3 linked regions of the Diceros bicornis minor genome follow. The protein of the gene in region 1 interacts with the protein of each later gene in a pairwise test. Links are inferred from orthologs where the notes say so. Each region holds a gene or a part of one and is shown on either strand. Other genes may lie near its edges. The genes, in order: COQ8A, LDAF1 and TMEM239.

Region 1 (3,751 bases):
TCATACCTCTGGGATGCCAGGCTCCAAGGAGTCAACGAGGCACTGTGAAGTAGGTTCACTTCTGGATTTTATTATAATAAATACTCCCTCTCCCCATTTTAGGCATCAACATAGAAGGGCTTTTAATTTTCTAAGAACTAATATTAAACAAGTTTCCACAAAGTTAAATGTTAATTCCAAAAAAATAGAATAAAGGACAATCCCTTGGCTTGAATATTTAGTTTTACGAAAAACTCACTAAATTGTTCATTATTTTTCCTTTCCCCCACAAGACTCACTAACAGCCCGGGACAGAGCTGCGGACCGGTGTTCGGGAATCACTCGAGGGGAACTTGTCGCACAGATCTGGGCTCAGATCTGAACTCTGGTGGATGACAGCGGCGACTTGGGGCAGACCCGTTGGCGGGCGAGGCGTTAGCTCGCACCCACTCGGGAGCCGGCCGGCTGACACCCGGGGCCGCTGCTGGCACGTGGGGGCCTGTCCCCGGCTGCTCAGAGCAAGGCTGGACCCCCGGGGAGACTCCAGGGCGGGGACAACGACTGGGGTTCCGGCCGAGCGGGAGCTGCCCGGCCCGAGGGCCACCTCCTCGGGCGCCCCGAGCGGGGGGCGCGGGCGGCACAGGCTCCGGAGCCACGGGCCCGGGGTCTTCCTGTTTGGGGATGGCGCCCCCGCAAAGCCACCAAGGTTAGCCTGAGGAGAAAGCGGGACCAGCAGGCGGGCCCGGACGCCGGGGCTGGAAACGCAGTCAGCCGGGCCCCCGCGAGCGCCGTCTGGGGAAACGGGGAGCGGGGCCCTCGTTCCAGAAGGCGGGGCACGGCGCGGACACCCTCCTGAGTCCCGTCCCCTTCCACTGCCTCCCCTCCGGGCCCGCTCGGAGGCCGGGCGAGCACCGGCAGGGAGGTGACGGGGAACGGCCTGTTCTCGGGGCGCACGCGCACCCGGCCACCAACGCCACAGCCGGGCTTTCAGCCCGGGCTCCCCAAGTAGGCGAAAGGGCAACGGGGAAGGGAGAAGGGGGAGGGGTCCTGCGCGCTGAGGCGGCCTCCCATTGGCTCCCCTCGCTCCGCCCTCGCTCCCGATTGGCCGCCGACCGAGCGCACGGGCCGAAGACGCTCTCCCGCGGCGCGCGGCGCTCGGCCGGCGACGGCGGCGCAGCCAATGGGAGCGGCCGGCGGGGCGGGGCCGCGGGCGCTGGGTCTCCGGGCGCGGGTGAGTTGGTAAACACATCGGGAGCGCGTGCCGGGCGCCAGCGCTGCGCAGAGCGCGCGGAGGGGGCGCGAAGGTGACCGCGGAACCCAGCTTCCTGCAGCCGGGTAAGGCTGCCGGCCGCCGCGGGCCCGGGGCGCCGTGTCTCTGCAGTCGGAGCTGGGCTCACCGCCCGCCTGGGCCCTTCTTGCATCCTCCTCCGGTGACAGCGCGGCTTCCCTTTTGCCAGTTTCACTTGCCGCGAGCTCCGGGTCGTGGCGCGCTGGGCGCGCCTCAGGCTGCAGGGTGGGGGCCCAGCAGCTGCCTCGTACCCCCGTGCCCACCCAGCCCGCCGGGCCTGCCTCGGGGAGGGGACGAGGGCCGCGTGCTGGAGCAGGGGGGCGCTGGACCGCGCCGAGCAGCCCCGGTGACCGGCCGCCAGTTGCCGTGCCTCTGGGTCGCCAATACAGCTTTCCTGCCTCGCGTTCTCATGATAATATTTCTCCTCACTCCCAGACCCCTTTGCAGCGTGTCTCAAGGGCCTTAATGGCCCGTGGCTGCAGGTTTGTGTCAGAGCTTTGATTCCTTTTGGCCCGAGCCAGCTGTTGGGTTTCACAGGTGGGCGTTTTGGGTGAACTTGGGAAAGGGGGACCCTTCTTGGTCCTTTCCTCTGTTTGCTTTTCTTTGGCCCTTCCTTCTGCTTCTCCAAACGCTGGGGGTCTTTTGAGTGGTCTGTGCTTAATTGCATAAACGTGTGCCTTTTCCCGGCCTCCACCTCCTCTGCCAAACCCAGACCAGTTCTCCCATGTGGCTTGGGGAATGGGGAAGGCTGCGGGGGCAGGTCTGGGTGCTGGGACTCTCCGTTTGGATGAGAGATGCCAGCCTCCTGAAGGGTGAGAGACTTATGTGCAGCCTCTCAGCCTGGGGTGGGCCTGCCGCCTGCTGGAAAACTTGTCCACGGGCTCTTGGGTCTTGGGTGTGCGTGACAGAAGACTGAAGAGCTGGATGTGCCAGGCCTATCTCTTTGCCAAAGGATTTGAGTATGCATTGATGCCAGCCTGCCAGTTGTCATGCTGTAGAAGGGCGGGGCATCCTGGCAGGAGGGCCTTTCTCCTGAGAAGAGACAAAGGGAAAGTGGTGGGTCAGGGGAGCAGCATCTTTAAGACTCTGGCGACGGCTTTGGGCATTTTGTTCAGCCTTACAGATAATGAGGACAGTGCAGGTTGTTATAATTTTTGGCCTGACTTCAGGCAGCTAACAAAAAGTGAACCAGGTGGTCTGAGCACTTCCCTGAGCGTCACCTAAGACAGGTCTCCCAACTGTTGACATTTGTACTGGATAATTCCTTGTTTGGGTGGAGGGGGCTGACCTGTGCGTTGTAGGATGTGTAGCAGCATCCCTGGCCTCTATCCATTAATGCTAGTAGTACCCCACCTCACACACACTAGTTGTGATCCCCAAAAATGTCTCCAGACATTGCCAGATGTCTCCTAGAGGGCAAAATCGCCCTTGGTTGAGAACCACAGAGGTAGGACTCTAAAAAGAGCCTTCCCACGCTGCCAGGGGCCTCCTGGGAGCTGCCCGTGAGGAGTTGAGAGGTTAGGCACAGAGTAGTGTTGTGTCCCCTGCCCTACACCGACGTTAGAATCCATGTAAATTGGGCTTTAAAGGAGACCCCACCTCTGCAGCTGGGAGGAGAGGAGACAGAGAGGAGGTAGAAGGCCATGGTGTTTACTGTGCCTGCTGGATGCATGGCACTCACTGGCTGCGTCTAGAGTGCAGAAGAAGTGGAAGACTGGTGTTTTCTGTCTTCAGGGACTTGGCAAGACTGTGGCGGATATGCATATGAAATAACCGTGGGACAGGTTTTAAATAGTGAGCAAACAAGTTTCAGCTCTCTTAATGCTGGCAGAAAGGCCAACTCAATTATCCACCAGTGGCTTTTCCAAGGTGATGCTTTACTCAGCCTCACTTTTTGCTGAGACATGTCTCGTGTCTTGTGTTGTGGGAGGGGGCCAGGCCTGCGTCTGCAGGGAGTGAGTGTCTGGCTGCATTTCAAACATACGTGTGGGTATATTTACATGTACCATGTGTTCCTCTGTGAAAGAGGCTACCCAGGAGTGTAATGAATGGTGCAGCATGGACGCACGTATGATTTGTGGAGTTCCTTTATAGTTGATCAAAGCTTCGATGTCAAAGACAGAGGTTTCTTTTGTGCAGAGAAAGATGCTTTACTTCTGAGTCTAGATCTTGCCTTCAGTATAACCCAGAATTTATGCCTCAAACTTCTAAGTCCCAAACTGATGGGGATGCAGAAAAGCTGAAAAACAGTGATTAGTGTACAGGGCAAGGAAAAAAATGCCAAGTGCCTACCATGAATTTCCCTTTCTTTGATCCATCAGTTGATGGATCCTATGAATTTCCCTTTCAGTTGATCCATCCTGTGGGGACGTATCAGGATTTTCCCATAGCATTCCTTGGTCAGTTAGGTGGTCTTTTGGGTGCTGTTTGTTGCCTATAGAAAAGGATCTGGACAGGGAGGTCACTTCTCCTTTCTCAAAAAGA
Region 2 (3,751 bases), on another chromosome or scaffold:
AGTGTGCAGCAGCGGGCCAATGCCCGGGTGTATCATTTTACAGATGAAGCCCAGGCTCAGAGAGGTAACTCATCCAAGGTCACACAGAAAGAGTCTGTTCTGGGACCAGAGCCCAAGACTGTTGGACCCCCAGCTCAGCAGTGGTTCTCAATCGGGGACAACAGTGCCCCCCGAGGGGGCATTTGGCAATGTTTGGAGATATTTTTGGTTGTCACAATTGGGGCAAAGGGGAGCACTACTGGCATCTAGTGGGTTGAGAGCAGGGATGCTGCTAAACATCCTGCAACGCACAGGCCAGCCCCACAACTCAAAATTTTCCCGCCCAAAATGTCAAGCGCTGCCCTTGAGAAACCCTGCACGACAGGCTGGATTTGGGGCGACGGGACGTGTGTTGCAGCTCTGAATTAGAACTGAGGGACTTGGGTTTGGACTTTTTCATCTAGAAAACAGAGATACTAATCTAACTCAGCTTGAAGGAACTCGCTGCCTCCTGCATTTTTTCTTTTTTTTTTGTGAAGAAGATCAGCCCTGAGCTAACATCCATGCCAATCATCCTCTTTTTGCCAAGGAAGACAGGCCCTGAGCTAACATCTATTGCTAATGCTCCTCCTTTTTTTTTTTTTGCCCCCTTTTTCCCCCCAAAGCCCCAGTAGATAGTTGTATGTCATAGTTGCACATCCTTCTAGTTGCTGTATGTGGGATGCGGCCGCGGCATGGCCAGACAAGCGGTGCCTCAGTGCGTGCCTGGGATCCGAACTGGGGTGGCCAGCAGGGGAGCGAGTGCACTTTACGGCTAAGCCAGGGGGCTGGCCCCCGCCACGTGCATTTTTAAAGCTTCCAGTCAAGCAGGTTACCTCATCACTTGTGAGTCCTGAACTCCACAGATGCTTCCAGAAGAGTTGGTTCAGGGTATTTAGGCAGGGGAATCCCTATGACCCTGCTAAAACCCCTTCTCAGCCGCCAGTCCACCTGTCTCAGAGGTGTCCCGAGCACTCCTCTGCAAGCCAACAGTGCAAGAAGGACGTCTGAGCCTGTTTCCTCAAGGCTCCTCATTCCGGGCGTGGCTCTGAAAGGCTGAGGGAGATGCCGCTTCACAGAAGGCGCGGCGCGGCGGCTGGGCGCGCCTTCGGCGGATCCTTCCGGCCGGGGGCGGGGCGATCGAGCGGAGCGAAGCAGAGGGGCGGGGCGGCGGGCGGAGGAAGGCGGGGCGGGGAAGGGGAAGCAGGCTGCCACTGCCACTCCCGCCCCGCCGCGCGTGTCTTCCTCGTCCTGCTCCTTTTCCTCCCTCCGCTCCCCTGCAGACGCCGGTCTGCGCGCCCTCCAGCACCAGGTGAGAGCTCGCAGCTTGGGCCCGGGGGTACGGGGTGCCCCGGCGGTCTAGAGCCCCTCCCGGGCCGGGCAAATGGAGGAGCGCGGGGACGGTGGGTTGAGAGGGCAAGCGGTTTACTAATGAGGGGCGTCTCATCCCCTCGAGCCCCTGGGACGGGCTGAGAACGCGCACACACACGCATACACACACACGTGCGCACGCGCGCACACCTGCCACTAGATTTGGTAAAAGGGTTGCCAGCCCCATCCCACACCCAGACCCTGCCCCTTCTTGGGAAACCTGGTTGGGGTGTCTCCAAACCCCCCCCTCAGGATTATTGAAAACGAGTGCCTCCCCCCGGGTCCCTCTTCTCTACCGAGGACCCCCTCCCGCGTCACTGCAGAGAGGGGAGCTCCAAGCACCAAAGGTGGATTCTTTTCCCCAAATTAATGACAGGGTCGTCGACTTCCTCCAAGCTTCCATTTCTCAGTCTCGGCGTTCTCTCGGGCGCGGAGCCCCCTCTCCACCTGCATCATCCCCCTTCCCCCTCCCCTTGGATCCCAAGAAACTGGGCGCCCCCCGCCCCCTTGCGTCTTGGAAGGCTGAATGACTGGAACCATATGGGGAGCGGGAGGCTTGGGTAGGCCCGAGGCGCCCCGCAGTTCCCTTCCGCCGGCTTGAGATGCGACCCCTCCTCCTCCCAGCTGGAACGTTTGGGGTAGCCGTTTACCCCCAGGAGGGGCGGGGGTGGAAGAGCCGGAGGTGTTTTGGGGGCCGGTTGGCCGGTGATCTCTCTGTTCGGCGCGGAGAAGGCGGGGGCAGAGCAGTGGGGCGGGGGGGAACACACTGGTGGGCTGCACGGGCTTAACGGGTTGTCGCCTTCCCTCCTCCGGAGACTTCTCAGTGCCTGGGAGACACCCTCCGAGGAGTGAGTGACAAGGGGGTCTGGGGATTGGTGGCCAGGTGGGTGCATTTGACGGCTGGGGAGCGGGAGAGATGGCATTCTACCCACTCTCGCCCCCGTCGGACTCCCCAAACCGATCCGGGTGGCCCCTGGGTTTCCCAGGCCTCAGGAGACCCATAAGGGGAGCTGGGCTTGTTTCTGCCGGTTGCAGAGATGAGATTAGGGAGCTGAGTGCTGGGAACATCCCAAATTCAAGATCTGTGCCAAATGCAGCTTCATACACAGGATATGGGGTGGAGGGGTAAGTCCTCTGTTCCAAGGGGTTCTGTTTCACAAAAGGGATTGCAGCAGAGGATCTCTAGCCGGGCTGATTAAAACGTGCTTTATAATTTGTTTACTAGACTCCATGATGTTAGTAGATAACCTCCCCAACTCATAATTAGTATGTGGGATATTCAATATGGTAAATAAATGTGAGCGTCTCTCAGTTAATTTTGTCCACTGTAACAGAATCTTTTAGGCATTTGTACTACAGGTCAGGAGGTCAGTTGTAAGGAAGAAATGGAGAAGATATCTCTGTGTCCAGCCCTACAGTGGTTGTTTTGGGAAATATAAAGTAGGAACGATGTATTTGTTTATATGAAAATCCAAGAAGGGTTAAAAAAAATAGATATCTAATTTAACAAATTGCTTTTATTAAAAATAAATACTTATGTGAGATTGGGACAGTCCTGGAAATTCCAGGCTGTTGTGTCACAGAGTGTAATTGTGGCAAGCTCTGCTCCTGAGACACCTCTCTCCTTAAGGGGAAGAGAGTTACACAGAAATAAATAGAGAATGATTTATGGCACAGTGCAATTGGGAGCCAACCTGTTTAGTGTGGGTGTACGTAAGGAAATCGGCCACCATCACTGTTGTTTGAGGAAGGCTTTCTGGAAAAAACAAAAAGACAATAGGATTTAAAATAGTGTATTCAGCTTTCTTGCTTTATTCTATATTCTTTTCAGCATTTTGTCAGGCTAAAAAAATATACATAAACTCTCAGAGATAATACCATTAACGTTTTGTTGTGTGTCCTGAATCTTTTACTATAGGATATACACATAAAATATGTATGTTTATGTAACCATATGGAGTAGTTTCTAATTTTTTTTCACTTATCATGGACACATTTTCATGACACTAAGTAGCCGCATTATCATTTTAATGATTGTACAATAGTCCATTATATGAATTTATCATTATTAAACCAATTTCCTGCTAGTGGACAGTTAACTTCTTTTATTGTTTTGCTATTTATTATATATTATAAACAGGGATGCACTGCCCATCCTTTTGATACATTTTGATGTACTTGTTTGATTATTTCCTTCAGATTCCTCAAAAATAAACTGTTCGATCAAGGTGTGTGCAATTTGAGATGTTGGTAGATATTGCCAAGTTACCCTCCATTTGCCCGCCCGCCATCAGTGTGTGAGGATAGTAGAAGCTGTCGTTGGGTTAGTTGGGTGAAATCACTAATGGTTTAAGAAACTTTT
Region 3 (2,073 bases), on another chromosome or scaffold:
CAGCCTGGCAAGTGGGCAGGTGTAGGCAGGCGAGCAGGTGGTCAACCTCTCGAAGCCCAGCTGCCACCATCTCTCTCCACAGGCCCACAGGTTCCACGCAGTCACAGCACACACTTCTCACAGGGGGCCAGAGTCACGGGGCCGGCGAGGGGCCAGGACAGCAGGAGGCTCTACTTCTGCCGACAGTGGCAGTCACGAGACGACTCAGCCTCCAGGAGGCTCTGCTATTGCTGCTCCTGGGCGTGCGGCTGCTCCTGGGAGCCCATGGCATGCCCTTGGCCCTGCTTGGCCTGGCTTTCTGTCTTCATCCTTGGGCCTGAGTGCCCTCCTGAAATACACTGGCCATGCTGTTTCCTCAGGCCTCCTTTCCTCCATCCTGGGCTGGGCAGGCAGGAGGGTACCCCTTTATTCCCAGCCTGACCCTCAGGGGACCTCCAGCCCCACAATATGGACAGCGGGTACCTGGGTCTGAATCTGAAGGCAGGGATAGAAGGCGAGATAAGGGGTAAGGAGCCCAAGGCCGGATGTGGTAGCCATCTCAGAGCCTGTGGCTTGGGGGTGGCCATTCTGGCTTCCTTTGTAGCTCTAGAGAATGGGTGCCCAGAAAGACTTGCAAGAGAGCAGAGTGGGACTGGATATCAGCCAACAGGGCAGGGACAGGAATCCAGAGAAGGCTTCACAAAAGAGAGCATGAGAATTTACATCTATGGGCTTACCAGGCTCCCCTGCCAGCCTGGAGGGTCCATGGAGAGGGGCTCAGGTGAGCCTCATACTCTGGAGTGGCTCTTCTCTTGGCTGGACCCCACCCCAGCCCGGGTCACAATGGGGCTCCTCTGGGGAGGGTAGGAGCGAATGAGAGTGGGGGCTTGCCTCTGGCTACCAAGCCGTCCCGGGCACTGCAGGCAGCAACATGACTTAGGTGGCTCTGCCCAGAGGTAAGACCCAGGCCCCAGCTCAAAGCCTCACCCCACCCATGCTGGTGCCCTCCTGACCCCTGCACCCCCTCCTGCCCTGAGGACCCAGGCATCTCCAGGATTGCTCCTGCAGCTGGCCTGGCTCTCTCCCCAGGTGCACCAGCCGTGATGCAGCAGCCGCGAATGGAGACAGATGCCACTGGGGCCGGCGAGGGGCCACAGCCGGCAGTGCCCTGGTCGGCTTGGGTCACGTGGCAGGGCTGGGTGCACTGGTGCATGTGCCGCATGCCCCGGAGCTGGACCCAGTGGTGGACCACATCGGGTTGGCGGCAACCAGTGCAGCGTGTGCTGTGGGGTCTAGAGGGAATCCTCTACCTGCTGCTGGCCCTGATGCTGTGCCATGCTCTCTTCACTACTGGCTCCCACCTGCTGAGCTCCTTGTGGCCTGTCGTGGCTGCAGCGTGGAGCCATCTGCTGCCGGCTGTCCTGCTGCTGGTGCTCAGTGCCCTCCCCGCCCTGCTCTTCACCGCCTCCTTCCTGCTGCTGTTCTCCACGCTGCTGAGCCTCGTGGGCCTCCTCACCTCCATGTCTCACCCAGGCTACGCTCAGGACTTGGACCAATAGAAGGGCAACCCCATCCCGCTGCCTGTGTCTGTTGAGCCCTGGCCTAGGGCCTGAGGCCCAGGGGAGAGGGAGGGCAGTGGGACCAGGGCCTTCCTGCCTCAGCAGGCCCTAGACCTCCAACCTCTAGCACTGGTTGGGTCACGCGTGATGTTGCTGGAGCCGGCAGGGTAGATTAGCCTGACCTCTGGGCACCTCCATCAAGTTGACGCTGCAGGTACTTGGTGTAGGGGCTCAAGGGCTTTGAGAAGAGGGGACAGGGCAGAAGGCTTAGCCAGGGAAAGAGCTCGGCCAAGCCACCAAGAGCTCCCACATGGGTGTGGTGACACCACTGGGGCCCCCTTAGCAACTGGCACCATCTTTTTCTTGCAGCTGCTCTGCTGTCTCAGCTTCAGACTCATTGAGAACTTCTACCTGGGTACCCCTACTTGCCATTCCTGTCACCAACCCCTTCTTTTCACTTCCTCAGGCTCTAGAAAAGGCCCACTGACTGAAACCTAGCTGAGAGAGGGCTGGCCAGAAGCCCCATGAGACCTCA

What was found.
Region 2: the proteins of COQ8A (region 1) and LDAF1 interact in binary tests that used the Homo sapiens proteins (3 or more experiments, as listed by UniProt). The two-hybrid records come from large-scale screens. The link is inferred for Diceros bicornis minor from reciprocal best matches to the Homo sapiens genes COQ8A and LDAF1.
Region 3: the proteins of COQ8A (region 1) and TMEM239 interact in binary tests that used the Homo sapiens proteins (3 or more experiments, as listed by UniProt). The two-hybrid records come from large-scale screens. The link is inferred for Diceros bicornis minor from reciprocal best matches to the Homo sapiens genes COQ8A and TMEM239.

The regions. Positions count from the first base shown.
Region 1 is NC_080777.1:7,156,192-7,159,942, reverse strand, and holds the start of COQ8A (atypical kinase COQ8A, mitochondrial), read left to right. Parts: upstream 1-1,188; 5' UTR 1,189-1,210; intron 1,211-1,216; exon of another isoform or gene 1,217-1,314; intron 1,315-3,751. UniProt on the Homo sapiens protein: Atypical kinase involved in the biosynthesis of coenzyme Q, also named ubiquinone, an essential lipid-soluble electron transporter for aerobic cellular respiration.
Region 2 is NC_080765.1:30,046,654-30,050,404, forward strand, and holds the start of LDAF1 (lipid droplet assembly factor 1), read left to right. Parts: upstream 1-1,233; 5' UTR 1,234-1,330; intron 1,331-3,751. UniProt on the Homo sapiens protein: Plays an important role in the formation of lipid droplets (LD) which are storage organelles at the center of lipid and energy homeostasis. In association with BSCL2/seipin, defines the sites of LD formation in the endoplasmic reticulum.
Region 3 is NC_080758.1:31,321,334-31,323,406, forward strand, and holds TMEM239 (transmembrane protein 239), read left to right. Parts: upstream 1-852; coding exon 853-920; intron 921-1,003; coding exon 1,004-1,538; downstream 1,539-2,073. Other genes in the region: C19H20orf141 (uncharacterized protein C20orf141 homolog), read left to right, coding at 83-320.